3 linked regions of the Schizosaccharomyces pombe genome follow. The gene in region 1 interacts genetically with each later gene. Each region holds a gene or a part of one and is shown on either strand. Other genes may lie near its edges.

Region 1 (6,219 bases):
GAACAACAGCAGCTTCATCAATCTTAGTTTCCACTGTATGGTCATTTCCTTCCGAAATTTGTACAGGTCCAGGAGAAGCTACGTACACGGCGTCCCAGGGTGAACTAGGATCTCCCAATGAAGCAATTGCTGAGTAAAGGGCAGTGCCACTACTACGATGCTGAAACGTCCATTCGCGAGTATCTTTATTTAAGGCTGCTTTAAATTGAAAATTTCGAGAGACATTAACAATACGTTTATAAGCAGCTGATTGAGTATTTCCTTGCGCGCCTGAAGGCATTTCTAGAGCACTTAACTTCACCGAGGAGAAGTGACGAGAAATATAGAGAATAAAACCAATGAATCACTACAATAAGCTAGCAAAAAACTTTAAATCAATGTCGTTTGCGCTTGTTTAAGCAGATGATTAAACGTATAGAAAGTAGGAGACCGTACTATAAGCTCAATATTACATTGGACAGTGTACCCTAAATGACGGAAAATTCAAATGACCGAGAGAGGTAGTAAGACACCGAATTCACCGATATGAAAATGGAAATTCCCTGCGAATAACGAATATATGATGAATGAACCTTTTTACTAATGAATTATGAATAACTGATAAATGAGATGGTGTTCGTCATTGCCCAAGCTTTTGAAATGATGTGAAGACGCTAACACTGAGATGGTAGAACAAATCTGCGACTATGGCGCTGAAAATTCATTTCCATTAAAAGATTGGGGAGCTGAATACGTATCATTATTTCCATTTTTCCTTGTAGGCTTTGGACATGCCTGATAAGCATCGTTTAATGCAGGTAGAAGTGTATTTAAATTTTTACAAAAAGAGTTAATTGCATCACTAGCTTCTAACAAATGCTTATAATGATTATATACCAAAGATCTATGGTCGACAGAAAGCCCTTGAATCGAAGCAACCAAAGATTTATCACGCTGCAATAATTCGGCTGGTGTGGCTTTCTCCATAAATTTAGAAACGTAAGCATTTGAATCGAAATTTGGATCTGAGAACTCTGGATCAACTTTATCTAATGCTGTTTCTTCCACTGGCGAAACGGTATTAGAGCTAGACGGTTTTCGAGTTGTAGAAACAGTTGAAGATGAGCTATTTGAACCAGGTAGATTATAAAAGTCTCTTAAAGCTTGACGGCGTTTACTTGACATATTGTACAATTTACTTAACGACAGTGCTTAATAAATAATGAAATAAATGTATCTACAAGGCCAGCAACGAACAAAATACTGTTGCCGACAGAAAATGCTCTAGTGATAGAAATGAGTGAATAACGTACTCCTGTACATCTTTATATCATATATCGATGCTTCGAATATTTCTTTAAAACATTCTATTGCTTTGTTTCATATTGATAGTTTGATTAAAAAGTTTCGATACTTTTATTGCTGATCTGGTAGCAAAATCTCAACGCATTTTAAAAATGCATTTTCGCGGTATTGCGATTCTTTGGTAGATGACAAAAACAAGACTAACGATTGCACGCGTTAGAAAATTACATAACCATACTTCAGCTTCTTTTTCCATAGTTATTTCCATTAGTTATGATAATATTCGATAATACAGAGAGCGTCAAGCATATATATATTATTTAACCTTTGAGCGTTTGCTGTTCTTCTAAACTGAATTGTAGGCTTAGTGTTGAAAGAGAATTTAGCACTTTTAACAAAATCTCATTCTTTCTGTTAAACTAGAAATGCATATTTAATTTTCTTAAATTTAGTTTCCTCCCCTTAAAAGTAGTTGAATATTTGATTTAAATTTGCAAATATATTTTAACTTCAGTATACACTGAAACAGTTTTTTAACATACAGTAAACTTGCCTAACCTCGTGCAAAGCGGTTTCTTCTGTTCATTTTAACATTTTGTTGAAAAGTCTTCTTGTTATATAAATAGACAGTTTGACGGATGGAGTTTATGCAACAGTACTTCCTTCTTCAGAAACCAGCTTGCATATGATTTGGTAAATTCAATTAGTATCATCGCTACTCTCTTTTGTTGTACTGAAAAATCTAAGCTCAAACATACGCTTTCCCGTGTTTATAAGGTGTTATTTTATGCTTTATTAACTATTTTACAAGGGAACCTTACATTTGGCTCTGTAATGTGCAATTACTGTTATCAAAACTCGAAATAGTATACGAAAGATTTCCAGGTTTCTGAAAAGGTTGTTTTACCTTTAAAATGTGTCATTCGAAAGAAGTAAAATTTAAAACCAATTTTCATCACCCGTATACCCCATACGATATCCAACTAGAGTTCATGCGCAGTTTGTACTCTTCCATCAGCGATGGAAAGATTGGGATTTTTGAATCACCAACTGGAACGGGAAAAAGTTTGAGTTTAATCTGTGCTTCACTTACTTGGCTAGACGAACATGGAGGTGTTTTACTTGAGGATAATGAAAAATCTAATGACAATAAATCTAACACATCCTCAAAAATTCCAGATTGGGTTCTAGAGCAAGACTTGAAAATACAAAAGGATCTAGTAAAAGAAACACATGCACGGCTTGAACAGCGCCTTGAAGAAATTCGAAAGAGGAACCAAAGTCGCAAAAATCAAATGAGCAATAATTCAACTACATACCACAGGGAAACAAAAAGGAGGAACATAAACGCAGAAGCCTCAACCTCAGACAATTGTAATAATTCTAATACTTCGGTTGATCCGATGGACGAATATCTAGTTACAGCAGAATATACGATGCCATCGACTTCTGAACAATCTGAAGATTTATTTAATAACGGTTACAGTTCCAAAGTCTCTGAACTATTGCGAAAATTAAGTCCCGATAATGAAAAACCACCTATAGTTCAAAAGGTACGAATTTAGGTGCTTATAAGGAATATTCATTTAGTGGTAATATTTTTCTAACCTACTGCTAGATATATTTTACTTCTCGAACCCACTCTCAATTGCAACAGCTTGTTCAGGAAATTAAAAAGCTCAATAATCAAACCTTCTCAACGCCAATACGAGTAGTTTCTTTGGCTTCTCGTAAGAATCTTTGTATTAATAATGAAGTCCGGAAACTTCGACCAACGTCTGCTTTAAATGAAAAATGCATTGAGCTTCAAGGTACTTTAACAACTTCACTAGATTGAAAATTCAGTTTAATATTAACTTTTACATTTTAGGATCAGCTCACAAGTGTCCCTTTTTACAAGACAACACTCAATTATGGGACTTCCGGGATGAAGCACTTGCTGAAATAATGGATATTGAAGAACTCGTAGAATTGGGCCAGCGTTTAAAGGTCTGCCCTTATTACGGAACGAGGGAAGCAGTGGATTCAGCTCAAATTGTGACCCTACCTTATCCTTTATTGCTACAAGAATCAGCACGAAATGCGCTTAATTTGACTCTTAAAGACAATATATGTATAATTGACGAAGCTCATAACTTGATTGATGCAATCTGTTCCATGCATTCTTCTTCCATCTCGTTTAGACAAGTTTGTATTGCTGAAACTCAATTGCAACAATATTTTCTGCGGTTTGAAAAACGTCTGAATGGTAATAATAGAATGCATATAAAGCAATTGATCAAAGTTGTCTATAACCTAAAATCTTTTTTTTTAAATTGTCTAGAAACTAATACGAATTCAAAAGTGATCAATGTCGATTCTTTACTGGTATCAAATGGTGCGGATCAAATTAACTTGCACCATCTGTCTGAATACTTGAATGTTTCAAAACTAGCAAGAAAAGTCGATGGTTATACGAAATATATGCATTCATTGGGGACACAAGAATTGGAGTCTTTGAATGATCTTCGTAGTGAAAGATTTTCAAACGGCAATGGATATGAAGAGGATCCATACACACCGGTCCTAATGCAATTAGAATCTTTCTTACTGAATATCGCCAACCCTGCTCCTGAGGGGAAACTATTTTACGAAAAACAAACGGGGGACAATCCATATTTAAAATATTTGTTACTCGATCCATCCAAACATGTCGAGATATTGACCGAACAATGTCGTTCAGTGAATTTAGCTGGTGGCACCATGTCACCGATTGATGACTTTATAACCCTTTTATTTTCAGATGAACAATCTCGTATACTTCCATTTTCATGTGACCATATAGTTCCTCCTGAAAATATTACAACCATTCTAGTTTCTCAAGGTCCTGCAGGCGTCCCTTTTGAATTTACACATAAAAGAAAAGACGATGAGAATTTATTAAAAGATTTGGGAAGGACTTTTCAGAACTTCATTTCCATTATCCCAGATGGCGTCGTGGTTTTCTTTCCCAGTTTTGCATTTTTGCAGCAAGCTGTAAAAGTATGGGAAATGAATGGAATTACAAATCGTTTAAATGCAAAAAAACCATTATTTATTGAAAGTAAAGATTTTGGCGATAATCCTTTGGATACTTTTGAACACTATAAACAGTCCGTAGATGCAGGCTTGAGTGGAATGTTGTTTAGCGTGATAGGAGGAAGACTTTCAGAAGGAATCAACTTTTCAGATAAACTTGGCCGAGCCGTAATGGTGGTAGGAATGCCGTTCCCTAACTCGCAAGATGTGGAATGGCAAGCCAAGGTCTCATACGTAGAGGAAAAGGCCAAGGAGAAAGGCATAAATGCAAAACAAGCTTCACAGGAATTTTATGAAAATACCTGTATGCGAGCAGTAAATCAAAGTATAGGTCGAGCGATTCGACACCGAGATGATTATGCAAGTATAATTCTTTTGGATTCCAGATATAATCGATCAAGTATACAAAGGAAGTTACCAAACTGGTTAAGCAAAAACATCCATTCTAGCCCTAATTTCGGACCTGCTATACGGCAACTTGCTACTTTTTTCCGGGCTAAAAAGATGTGTGATTAGACATATGGTTTGCGTTACAGCGTCAACATAGGCTTATTTTAGAATTACGCTTCGCATATTGTAAATAGATTACTCTATAATTTTTAGAAAATACACCTCTCTCGTATTTACCGACTACTCAAATCATTACTCGTCAAAGGTATAAAAACAAGATCTATTTTGAACGTCAATTAAGACTGCACTAATGGTGTCGCAAATGAAGGTTGTTTAGGTAGAAAAAAACCAACTTGAGAAAAGTTACGACTTAGAGCAGGAAGAGGCCTCTGCCATGATATCCAAGCGTCACGCTAGGGACCGCTTAATTCAGTCCATCGAGCTGTAGATGATCCGTTTATTTACTAATTCAAAGTTAGAAGTCTGCAGGTCTGAGTAATATAATACAACACTTACGATCTAGCTCTCATCTTTCTTCTTTTACGTTTAAGGCGTCTCACGCGTTTCTTCCTCCACTTATCACGCATTGTGGTTATGGATGACTAGCAGACTAGGCAATATTTCATCTGTATAGCACATTGTGACTGCTCTTTTAAGAACACACAATACGGACGTAACACATTCAAAAGTACAGTCAAGTAACAGAATTACTCTAGTATGTCAAGGAACGAAATGTAAACATACAAAAAGTGGTTAATTACATATTTTATTTCAAATGATCCGTCAACGATAGTAAGTGATTTTTAAGTGCTTCCTTTTGCATATCTTTTTTGAAAGGTTCAGCTCTTCAAAATCAGATTTAATAATAATCCATTTAATGCTATATCATCCATTCATATTATCCTTTAATGACAACATACCTGATGTTGTTGTATACGACTTGCGATCTATTGTCAAACGCTGTGTAAACTTCAAGCATACTACATACTTTAGTTTGTAAACCGTATACAGAACAGGTATATCATAAACATTCTTTAAAGTCTAGTAAGTAGTCTACAGGGAAGGTGAAACGCATTTTTGTGCCATAGAATAGTATAAATTTATTCTTAGACATTGTAATTAGACTGCTATATAAGATACTGAAAGCATCCGGAACAAGTACTGTGTTTTTAAGTCGAACTGTTAAACTCCTTGACAATTTGAGCTACTTTAATCATCTATTAAAAACAAATTTTAAAATGCAACGTTAACCCTTTGGTACTAAAAGATACCATGTAAAAAATGTATAATCCAATAAATTTAAAGGATATGCTAGCAATGTATATGAATACCAATTGTGTATAACAGAATGGATTTAATATCTGTAAAAACTGAATGATACCTTTTTTAAAGTAAGAGATAGAGGTGGCTTTTTCTTTTGCGGCATTTGCCAAGCAAACAACACCACCCCAAATATTTAACGCAATCTCGCTCCACTGCACAAAGCAT
Region 2 (5,701 bases), on another chromosome or scaffold:
GGCCGGTACTAGATTTGTTTCGCATTCTTCCCCGAGAAGTCCTATTATGTATTCTACAGCAACTAAATTTCAAAAGTATTGTTCAGTGTATGCAAGTCTGCAAACACTGGAGAGACTGTATTAAGAAAGAACCTAGCTTATTTTGTTGCTTAGACTTTTCATGCGCCTCTCCTCGAAGTGTAAACTCTAGAGATCGAAACGTTATGGCTGTTGCTCGATACTCTGTTTATTCAAAAGACAATATACAGGAAGTAATTGGCTTAGAGAAGCTTGGTATATTAACACCTACCAAAGCCTTACTTCGTTCAGTCAAATCACTTAAAGTCTACAAAACCATTTCACCTCTCCACACTCAGTCAACGGATAAATTGTATACAATTTGGACGCCATTTTCTGAACTTCACTACTTTTATTGTGCTACTCCTATAACATTTTCCATAGCTTCTAAGATTTTATCTTGCTGTAAGAAACTCAAGCAGGTTGAGCTTGTTGACTTAATTCCCGATTTGATATTTGATTCTATGGATTGGGATAAACTCTTTAATGCAGAATCTGTACCGCTGGCTCTTAAATCTTTGACGTTTATCCGAAATCAAAAGTTTCCCTTTCACCATAAAGAACAGCAATTTCTTAAAGACTTGCTGTCTGCCAGTCCATATTTAGAATATCTGGAAGCCTCATATCAGTCAGACCTAGTTGCTGCAATAAAAAAATATAAAATTAATCTCCGATCGTTAATTATCATTGATGAAGGAGTATCGAATACTGTTAAAGATCTAGCATTCCTTCCTCAATCTCTTACCACGTTAATTGTGAAACCCTGCAATCCTGCATCTACAATTTTATGTCCATATTTATTCCCTACAAATGTCCGGATGGAATCACTAATCAACTTAGAGTTATTTCTTTATCTTCGTTTATCTCAAAATGATATCGATAATGTTGTCAAATTTTTGACTTCTTGTTACAAACTAAAAAAGCTGGTTCTACACGATTCGCTAGCATTGGCCCCCCATTTCTTTGAAATATTTGCATCTTTACCGGAACTTGAGCATCTTGAGATTCCTGATAACGTTGCTCTTCAAAATAAGCATGCAATACACATTACTGATTGTTGTCCAAATCTAAAGTATGTGAACTTTTCAAATTCAATATCCCTCGATGGATCGGGATTTATAGCAGTTTTACGAGGACTGAAAGAATTAAAACGTATAGATATTATTAATTGTGATTCTGTTTCTAGAGATGCAATAGATTGGGCGCGCTCCAAAGGTATGCAAGTTACCGTAGCTTCCTCGCTTCCAAATTCTCAACCATTGGGTACAAAAAAGATACGCCTAATATAATATGATCATATTGTCTTTATATATTCAATCCTAGTAAACCCGTATCATCGCATTGAAAGGAAGATTTTTAAGAGATAGATCAATCATTGAGAATAAATTAAAAAGCGCGTAAGCTATTTCTAATCATAACTTTGTGTTGAGCTGATAATATTACATACATCCAACAGTAATATCGTAACTCGGAAAAAGAAAGACATACAACTCGTGATTCCAAAAATAAAATAAAGATAAAAGAAAGCAATGAACAATATTACTGTCATAAAAATCTATTTCGTGTAAGTATTCACACTTATTTATAGATCTAATTGGATTTTGAAAAAATATTAACCGACCTCTCATAGTGATGAAAGTAGCATTCCACGTTTAGCAGTAAGCGTGATTTCGTTCTGAATGGCAACATCCTGCTTGACAGATATAACATCCTTCGTCGCTAAAACGAGGACATCAAAGAAAAGTTGAACAGCTTCCTCTCTATTGCATCCCGCACTAAGAGTTTGGAAGGATACTTTTTCACCTTCAGTATAAGGATCCCACTTATTGCGTAGAGAATCTTTGGCTGTTTGTGAACTAGGAAGGGCCTCAGATACCGAAGAGTCCAATCGTTCGCTTCCCAGCAAATCGGCCTCGTCCAGCATTACGGGAGGAGCGTCAAAAAGTGAATCATCGGCTGATTCCAAGGCAGTAACAGGAAATCCCATTGGCGAACCAAGCTCAGGAGCTTCTCCTTCTGGTTGAACAACGGTTTCTTGTGGTAAAGTAGCGATAGCGGCTTCAGTAATGTTGGCAAGCTCAGCGGCTGCAATTTCTTCAGGGTCCAAGACTTCAGCAGTTTCTTGGTTTTCAGTTGAGGTATCAGTACGTTGGTGCTTGGCAGGCTCGACTTCCTCTGGGCTCTCATTTTTTCTCTTTCTTAGAATTGCCTGTTTGAAATCAGCTTGCAAAAGCTCGTTTACTTTAGGGTTCAGGTTGGAAGAAAATATGGAAGTATTAAATTTACCGTTTCGAGTAAAATTAACGGTGGCATTAAACACGATGGAAGATGTATTCAAGCATAACGGTGAGGTGATGGAAGATGTATCTGCCAATTGTTTTTTCATTTGCTTGGAGGACAATTCAGTAACGGGATCAATAATTGCACGTTGACGACGTACAGTTTTCTGTGGATTGATCTTTTCCTGTTGAGGAGCAGTGGCGCTTTCAACAACCTGACCTTCCTCTACTCCTGCTGCTGCAGGACGAGATGAATCATCTTCCATAATGTCAGAAGGGAGATGAATACTTGATGTTTCAGCTTGTTCATCAGCCTCTATCGCCGGAGCATTAGCACCTTGTTCATCTCCTAAAAGATCATCTAAGCCCAAATCCAGGTTTAAATCATCAACAGGAGCCAACAATTCATCATCCAATGAAGTTCCTCCTATTGGTAGCATGCTTGGCGTACTAAAATGAGTGACTGAACTAGCCGGCGACTTAGTCATTTGAGGCCCAATAATTCCACTTAAATCGGTGGCAGCAGCAGCAGGAGCATCTCTACCTACTTCTATAGAAATTTGGGACTGATTATCAGAGTGCACACTTCTAGGTGTAGCAGCACCGGAATTTGAAATGGGAAGATGAAACTGCATATCATTGCCAACATGTGCGAATGATTCGCCCAAGGAAAACCCTGATTCTACTTGGGCATTTCGTCCAGCCTCAATTGATAGCTGGGAAGATGGAAAAGAAGGAGAGGAAGATATTGGTAAAGAATGTAGTTCAAGAGTGTTCGAAGAACGAGAGGGTGTACGAAGAAGTTGAGACCATTGAAAATCAAATGTACTATCAGGTACCAAAAGATCAAACTCTGTAATTGTCTCAGGAAGAGTGAGATTAGCGCTCTGTGTCACAGCATCTTTACCTTTTAAAGATTGGAGAGCAGTAGCTGGTTCAATCATATCAACCTGACCCGGTTGAAAGGACATTTTCAAACGCATCAACGCTTCCGTACAATCCTCCAATAAATACCTAGCCTTTCTGGAATAAATGCGAACAACACCCAACATTAGTTGTCCTGATAGGCGAAGGGCCATTGGAGCGGTTTCCTCCGTGACAATTGCATGGACGCTTTGCTCAATACTGGTGTGCAAAGTTTGCACTTTGGAAAGTTTCTTTTCCCAGTGAGCTGCCAACCATACCTTGGCCAAAGGACCCTAACGCGAACAGTTAGTCAGACGATTCAAAGACAAATTAGCACTGTTTACGCGCTAAAGAAAACTTATAAACTACATACCTTTTTTGAAAGAATGGCCTCTGAATAGAACATAAGAAGCTTAATATGATTAGGAGAAAAAGATAGAAAGAAATTAAAGAGTAAAGACAAAAAAAAGAGGGGAATCAAAAAAGAACAAAAATAAACAAAAAATTAATAAATATTAAAATGAAAGAAATGCTTTCTTTCGCAAAATTCGCCTCCTCACTACGATATAAGCTGGGTATTTGTAAAAATGAATATACGTGGTGCTGGTTAAATGAGTACGCGCTGCGCGTAAATAAATCCACGTTGCCATGCCGACAATGAATATGATACATAAACAAACTAGTATGTGTAGCAACAAATAGTTAAATAAATGAATAAAAAAAGCTTGTATTGAAGTTAGAAACTGTTGAGCATGATCAAGGGAATATGCTTCCTCGAAGAAGTTGATTTATCTTTGTTATATGCTTGTATGTTTCGGCCTACTAACTGTATTATAAAATGATGCGCTAGATTTACGTTCACATATGTGCATAGAAGGCAACAAAAGGCATTTGAATTATGTTATTCAATTAAAATAGTCATAAGACATAAGGGGATATGTTTTTCAATAAAACGGAAAACTCCGATTACAACCTTGTTTTAACAATCTTGAGTTAAATTTTGACCATCCTTATTTTGGAAGCATTATCCTTCCATTGAATACATTTATCAAATGAATTCCATTCATTAATTGCATCTTCAATGCCATTTTTTCTGTATGATTAAATAGACTCGTAAAAGGATGTTTTCATCCCATTTTAGTAATGTCAAAACACATTACATTAAACGAATATGTAATAGAAATTACCACGACTGAAAATTTATTTTATTTCTATTATATTATTGTCAAAATTAAAAGGTTGATTGTGACTCGTATGCCAGAAGAAGGTTAATGAATAAAAATACTTATAAAAATAAATAAATTTTTTTTTTTTGGGTAGGGTGTTTTTTTTTAACGATAAACCCCATCCAGATAAATTCGATAAACAAGCTAATTTATTTAAAAAATCAAACAAAAAATAGAAAAAGGAATAGACAAGAATTCCATCCATATTCGTCTAGCAAATTCGATTTTTCCATTTCCCAATAGTGGACACTGCGCAAAACAGTTCCCGTATGTTTTAGTGAAGGGGAATTCGAGTTTGACTGTTGGAAGAAGGCAATTCGCTCATAAATCATTTTAATAAATAAAATGAATGTATAGCATTATTTTCGCCTCTGCAGAAGTTTAATGTCATTGTTCATTGTTGGCAATATCCAATGTGGGGGAAGGCGTAAATAAAATGAATACGTATATGTTTCTAACCTTGATTCTTGACTTTTCCCAACAACGGTTCACTGACTTTAAAAGAGAAAAAGTATAAATTACTAAAGCAATTGTTACATTTAAATAGATTGCTAAGGACTATTGTCTAATAATACAACAGTTACCTTTATTAACGTTTATTTTTCTTTTGGAACACATTGAATATTAAACTAAATTGCCACAAAACAAAATGACTGAACAGAATATCGATATCAAAAGAGAATTGAAGGATGAATCTCCAATTGGGCAATCTCCACATCTAGAAAATGATGGTCGTCCTAGTCTTATGTCGCGCTATAGCTACTCGTCTATTGAAGAGGTATCCAAAGAGGGCTATCAATGGTTTAAACATCAAAGTGTATTTCTTAAATTTAGCCTAATTGTACTTTTATTCTCGTTGATGTTTAGTTTGACGTTTGGTTCGTTGCTTGGATTAATTAGCCTTGCTTTGGGCTTTCCTAGTGTGGGATATCGTTATGTGCTTCTGCCCATATTAAATGCATTATTGAACCGTTTAAGACTTAATTCCTCCGGTTTGAAGTAGTACGAAAAGCTTGATTTCTTTGGGTCTCCCGTTTCTGCTTTTTGTGTCCGAATTCAAAATGAATCATCATAAAAAGACAGTGTTCTTGTTTACCTGAAAGCGATGAGTAACTTACCCTGTTGTATCTTAGTTTACGACGATCCTTGTATAACGACTGGAAAATAAAAAAAAAAAGTCAAAAAACTGTGAATATAATAAAAAGTGATTTTTTACTTGTTTAAATTACAGCC
Region 3 (5,570 bases), on another chromosome or scaffold:
TCATTTGCATATTTGTCGCTATTCAATCCAAATAAACACGATCTTGTCGATAACCCTACTTTCCGTTGGCAGACAATATATCCTTTAATACCTGGAATTATAGAATTCATTAGAAACTCGTGGTCTGACGCTTGCCCAGTTGTTAAAGATGGATCCAACTCTCCGTCTGCTTCAAAAGTTTGTAGAACGGTTTTATCGATGCTTGGATTGTTTACTGAACAAGTTTTCAGTGTAGCTGATGAACCCAACAATCATAGGAAGAAAATATCTCAAGTTTTAAGAAAAATAAATAGGGACATAGAGTTGATAAATATCAATTATGGAACAGATTCCGAATGGAGAGGTGTATTGAAAGGATACGATAAATTGCGCGAGCGTGCAGTGGAATTGGATGCATTGGAGAACCCGGGTAAATGAAACTGACTCTATATGTTTCGTTTTAAATGGGTCCTCGCATTGTTTTAATTTAAGAATTTGGTTTGAGGGGTTATTTATGTTAAGTGGTATAAACAAAATTGATATTAACGCATAAATAAAATTAATTAAATAGTAGGGTGTATCCCCCCTAATTGATTCACCATAATAATTGCTGCAGTATACAAGTCTGAAACATTCTCAGTAATAGCCCCACCAATGAATTGTTTATTTGCAAGTTTCCACGGAGCCGTTTCTCCTGCGCGTATACTGTTATTATATTTGAACTGAGACTGCATGTACACACTTTGTATACTTAGACTGAAACAGGATTCTATAGGTTTGCTTTCCTTGGATCTGTCGAGACAAACGAAGGCTTCTTTGGAATTAATAGATGACGGGCTAATGTCATAGCTCTTAACTTTTGAACATTTTAATATAAATTCTAGAGAGTGAGGGAGTAAATTTTTGTTAAAAGGTACAGAGTTTTCATTAATTCTTGTGACCGAATGAATTATTACTCTGTCTTCCATATTTCCAAAGACTAACAGTAAATCCTTATTTACGTTTCTAGTCAACTGATTAGTCGAAGCTTTCAGAAATTGACATACCTAAATCTAATACTTTTGGAGAACTCTGTAAGTATCGCATCATTTAAAGGGACTTTCGTTTCGATACGTAGACGGGAATCCCATAAGCTATAAGTCATGATTAGTTGTTTTTTTCCTTAAAAACATTCATAACATACGCTAAAGGAAAATTGATAGTGCAAGTAGAAGATTGCTTAGAATCTTTATAAAACGCAAACTGATCTAACTTTGAAGAACAAATCATCGAAAAAAATACAGTGGAATCCTCTGTCTTGTTTCTCTTATCATCTGTAAATAATAAACTTCCCTTGAAAACAAAGTAATTCTTTGAATCTAATACTTCATGCTCTATTAAAGGATAAGTATACTCAGTACGTCCAAACAAAATTTTCACAGGAGTATTCAATAATGAATCGATATTCGAAACTGATTTGGTAATGCTTTATAAAAAGGTTAATATAACATATGAAGACTCAACCTACCAGTCTGCAAAATATGATCGGGGAAGATTCAAATCCTTATATATATTCATAAAACCATGTGAACAAGCCGACACATCTGATGAGATATTTGGATATAGTATGACGCCAAACCTGTTGGATTAATATTTATTCAAAAATAAACGCATACTCTAAATTCAATTCAATTTCACCTGAAAAGGATTGAAGTACATGCAAGCTAAACAAAGTGTTAGACTTATGTTTACATATTTAGTCAATACCACAGACCTTCTAGATAACCATCTGTGCAATGATTTCAAATTCATGTTGTCAATCTCTTCGTGATTAATGTATTTTTCAGAGCATACTATTTTTGGTTGAAATAAGTATAAGCTTCCCACACCGTAGCTTGATACCGGATTGGAAGACATTAGAATTGTATAATAGTTGTCACCAAGGTCGTCCATTTTCTCATCTTGTAAACGTAAAAACTTCATGTCAATTGAAGGAGTTAAGCTGCCAGATTTTGGAGTGGAACAATCTGATCCTTTGTCAAGCTCTAAACATTCTACACTTAATAGGTTTTTAGACTTTGAATCGTCGAAATCCAATTTTGCGCAATTTTGTCGCAAAGATTTATGAACATCATTAGCGTTAACTTCATTAAATTCATTTGAATTGACCAATTGAAAAGTCTGAGACTGTTTAGTTATTGCTTCGTCAACAGTATTACCATCCGAAGAAACAGAATATCTAGTAACCAGCTCTTCTTCAGGTTCCAATGGTAAAGTATTGCTCGTAGGTCGAGGAGGAAGCTGAAATTTGAACCGAGGAGGCTGCTTGCTATTAGACTTATTAATTGAATGCTCAATTGCAGTTGTTTTATCTTGGAAATGGGTCAAAGATGAAGTTCCTAAAATTTGCTTATCAATCGTGGGTAATTTATTCAACTTGTTCATAATCATTTCTTCAAAATTTGACGGATTATTCTGGTTAACAACAGGATCAACTGCTCTCCTTCCTTGATGAATTGAATTATCAGATAATTCGGTTGACGAAGAATGAAAATTTGACGGCTTTTGTAAGACTGGGATCGACAAATTGGATGAAGTTTTATTTAACTCGTAAAATCTGTGCGCTGGTTTCGGAGAAGAGAAGTTTAAAGAAACACCTGCAAATATTTTACATCCTATCAGCTTTATATCATCAGAAAATATTTTAAAATTATCATTACAGGGAGGGGTTTTGGAAGGATTTTTAGCAAAAACTGGTACCAACTCATAAGAATCACCATCATGTTTATTTCTCAATAATCTCATAGTATAAAAAGATCCAAGGATATTGAAAACGCTTTTGAAAATAGATGTCGTATGCATAGCTGTGTATAAAATCTCGTTTTCAAATTTTAATTTTAGAAATTTCAGTTGGCAGGGTGCAATCTTTCCTGCATAAACAAGAGTTTCTTCAGGATATTCATAGACTTTCTGGGACACTAAATTCTCTATATGCTTCATTTTCTCCAACATAGCATTAATGTCCTGATCGTTATTGGCTAATACAACTATTTTCTAGTCAAAAGTTAGGATGGTAGAAGTATCTTCACAAATACATACATTATCTTTTAAAGAAGCCTTGTATTTTGTGTTGGTAGCATGCGCAAACTCCTTGAGCAAATCATTATTGTCGGGAAGGTAAAATAATCGCTTGAAACTCCCGTTGTAAACAGTAGGCGAATAAATGACCTGTTTAAAATTTCCTTCCCATTCAAAAGGAGTAATGATTTTAGGTTTTATCAAGCAAGGAATATAAAAATCGGAGGATGTCGGTTTCTTGCCCACTTTAGACTTAACAATGTCCTCATTTTCTTTTATTTTCACATCTTCAATACCGTATCCTAAGTCTAAGTACCTTTGAAAATTCAATAAAGTAGTAAAATCATAATGCAATTGCCCGAATGGATGAATATCTAGGCGTGGTTTCTTGTAAACAGTTGATTCGCGCTTCAACTTTTGAACTATTTCCTCAAAACTAGCATGTTAATTAATATTTAAAATAATATTTAGGATGAACGCATGGAACTTACAGACTAAACGCTTCTCTTTTGTGTTCCTCGTACACTATGACTTTGAATTGCTGAATTATTAGCGTCAATAGCTAGGATATATAAAATACCTGAGATGAAGAAGAGTAAGAAATTTTTACTTTTCCATTATATTCAGAACTATATCATCAGTAATAGTCCATTTGCGCAAAACCATACTTTATACAATTTGTGAAGGAGGATATAAATTCAGCATTTAAAAGCAACGCTGTATCGATATAAAATTTAAAAAATCCTAATATTAGCAAAAGAATGATACACATTGACTTACCAGATTGATTGTTTGCAGATACTTTACCCATCACTCATTTCATCGAGCTTACAGATGGTACATGCTATATGCAGCTTCAGAATATAAGTGAAGTAATATGAATTCATTAGGAATATAAAGCTTTATGAATTATCAGAAGAAAAGAAAAATAATTAAATCTATAGTTCCTTGTATGTAGGTATTATAATTGTGATAAAATTAATGTTAACGTACTTACAATCGAGAGCTGAGTATTTGAATTATAAGCTGTAATGATTCATTAAAGGTTAGAAACACTGTAAACTAAAAAATAAAACTAAGACAATTGTTAAGAAACGTATTTTGTTTAGCGGACACTCATTTGTAAATAAAAATGTGTTGTCTTATCAACTAACTTAATGCCTCCCAAAGCTAGGAAATCATTAACCAATAAATATCTGAACGTAAAGTAGAAGCTTCAAAGTTATTTCTATAGCCCCAACATTTCTAGTAGAGTCAATAAAATCCTTAAACCAGGAAATAAGGCACCCTCTCCTCCAATTAAGTATTAGTCATTATTTCAAAAGCAGATGATGAGATGCAATAGGAGTTCATGAACATCATTCCCTCTCAATTTCTACGAAAAGTTTTTTAATCATCAGAAATAGTTTTTTCGAATAATTGGCTTCTGATTTCGTCCTCCAATGACGCTTCCTGATTGTCATTGTTTAAAGAAGGAAATGAAACCCCTCTGAGAAGAGAATTAATTTTAGCTACCATGGTGTTCGTACTGTTGAGGGTTGATATCAATTCAGGGTTTTTCTTCCACATATTCGTATGTATTGAAGAAGGCCCATCTTCAAAAGGTTCCAACATTTTTTCGATTTGCTCAAGTTCAGAGCGCTCCTGTTCTAATTCTGACAACGTTGTTAATAGACCAAGTAACTCTCCCGTAAGACGATTGAACTTCTCTTGCTCCTCATCCTTTTCGACAGGTCGGGATTCTTTTTGAAAAGGCCATGGATGGGGAAGTGATTTTACACTGTCTAAATTGCTTAAATCAATTTCTCCATAAAATAATGGATTTAAAAAGGTAATGTCCTCAATAGCGCTATTTTGTTCATATAACTTTCGTATTTGAGCGGCAACATGCTGAGTTGCTTGATGTGAATAATTTAGCTTTGCATGCTTTTGGATACGAAGTTGCAATCCTGTTTTGGTTAATAATAATATTTTGAACTTTTTATTTGTAGGAGAAATCCAGACAAAAGCATGGAACACGTACGTTGGAATACAGTTTCAACGACTGATTCTGAAAGCTGACCGGATTTTAAAGGAAGTTTCCAATCCTTTGGAGGGCGCATAGGTCGGTTCAACAGCCGTATCTGTCGTTCCATGAATGATTTTTTATGTTCGTAAATATCCATTTAGGAAGTAAATTTGATTTAAATCAAGATTATCAGGATTAAAATAAAAACAGTTGAATACTGATCGAAAAACAAGTCAATATGGTATTGAAATTAACAAAGCAAGTTCACGCAAAGGCAACAAACTAACAGCGACTTTTGAGCATATAGACGTCTTCAGTGTAAGCACTTCCAAAATTAATTACTTAACAAAAAAAGACCAAATCAATCAGACCTTGGCTGATGGTTGATTAATGACAAATTTTGAGAAAGTTACAGGAGACTAAAGAAGTCGAAAAGTCGAGCGACTAAATAGAATACTTTGAATGATGTTAAAATGAAGATTTTATGTACATAATCATTAAGCTAGCTCCTTAGAAAGGACTCGTC

What was found. Genes that interact genetically often act in the same process or in processes that back each other up.
Region 2: of chl1 (region 1) and rad21, changing one enhances a phenotype caused by changing the other (phenotypic enhancement), as found in Schizosaccharomyces pombe (one study listed by BioGRID).
Region 3: mutations in chl1 (region 1) and ers1 together harm fitness more than expected from each alone (negative genetic interaction), as found in Schizosaccharomyces pombe (2 studies listed by BioGRID).

What each region holds. Positions count from the first base shown.
Region 1 is NC_003424.3:5,396,916-5,403,134, forward strand, and holds chl1 (ATP-dependent DNA helicase Chl1), read left to right. Parts: upstream 1-1,829; 5' UTR 1,830-2,198; coding exon 2,199-2,837; intron 2,838-2,902; coding exon 2,903-3,095; intron 3,096-3,154; coding exon 3,155-4,857; 3' UTR 4,858-5,188; coding exon of another isoform or gene 5,189-5,195; 3' UTR 5,196-5,247; coding exon of another isoform or gene 5,248-5,318; 3' UTR 5,319-5,495; downstream 5,496-6,219. Other genes in the region: trehalose-phosphate synthase Tps2, read right to left, coding at 1-280; GARP complex subunit Vps51, read right to left, coding at 685-1,164; rpl4101 (60S ribosomal protein L41), read right to left, coding at 5,189-5,195, 5,248-5,318. UniProt on the Schizosaccharomyces pombe protein: ATP-dependent DNA helicase important for chromosome transmission and normal cell cycle progression in G(2)/M.
Region 2 is NC_003421.2:1,341,039-1,346,739, reverse strand, and holds rad21 (mitotic cohesin complex non-SMC subunit Rad21), read right to left. Parts: upstream 3,848-5,701; 5' UTR 3,649-3,847; coding exon 3,616-3,648; exon of another isoform or gene 3,536-3,615; coding exon 1,682-3,535; 3' UTR 1,347-1,681; downstream 1-1,346. Other genes in the region: F-box protein Pof3, read left to right, coding at 1-1,346; SPOM_SPCC338.18 (uncharacterized protein), read left to right, coding at 5,118-5,471. UniProt on the Schizosaccharomyces pombe protein: Cleavable component of the cohesin complex, involved in chromosome cohesion during cell cycle. The cohesin complex is required for the cohesion of sister chromatids after DNA replication.
Region 3 is NC_003421.2:799,474-805,043, reverse strand, and holds ers1 (RNA-silencing factor Ers1), read right to left. Parts: upstream 3,887-5,570; 5' UTR 3,848-3,886; coding exon 3,817-3,847; exon of another isoform or gene 3,781-3,816; coding exon 3,705-3,780; exon of another isoform or gene 3,666-3,704; coding exon 3,617-3,665; exon of another isoform or gene 3,578-3,616; coding exon 3,528-3,577; exon of another isoform or gene 3,505-3,527; intron 3,473-3,504; coding exon 3,058-3,472; intron 3,013-3,057; coding exon 1,733-3,012; intron 1,684-1,732; exon of another isoform or gene 1,683-1,683; coding exon 1,635-1,682; exon of another isoform or gene 1,598-1,634; coding exon 1,487-1,597; exon of another isoform or gene 1,445-1,486; coding exon 1,163-1,444; intron 1,113-1,162; coding exon 1,026-1,112; intron 985-1,025; coding exon 543-984; 3' UTR 501-542; downstream 1-500. Other genes in the region: rRNA processing protein Ipi1, read left to right, coding at 1-417; protein Fta4, read right to left, coding at 4,426-4,985, 5,060-5,201. UniProt on the Schizosaccharomyces pombe protein: Involved in RNAi-dependent heterochromatin formation and centromeric silencing.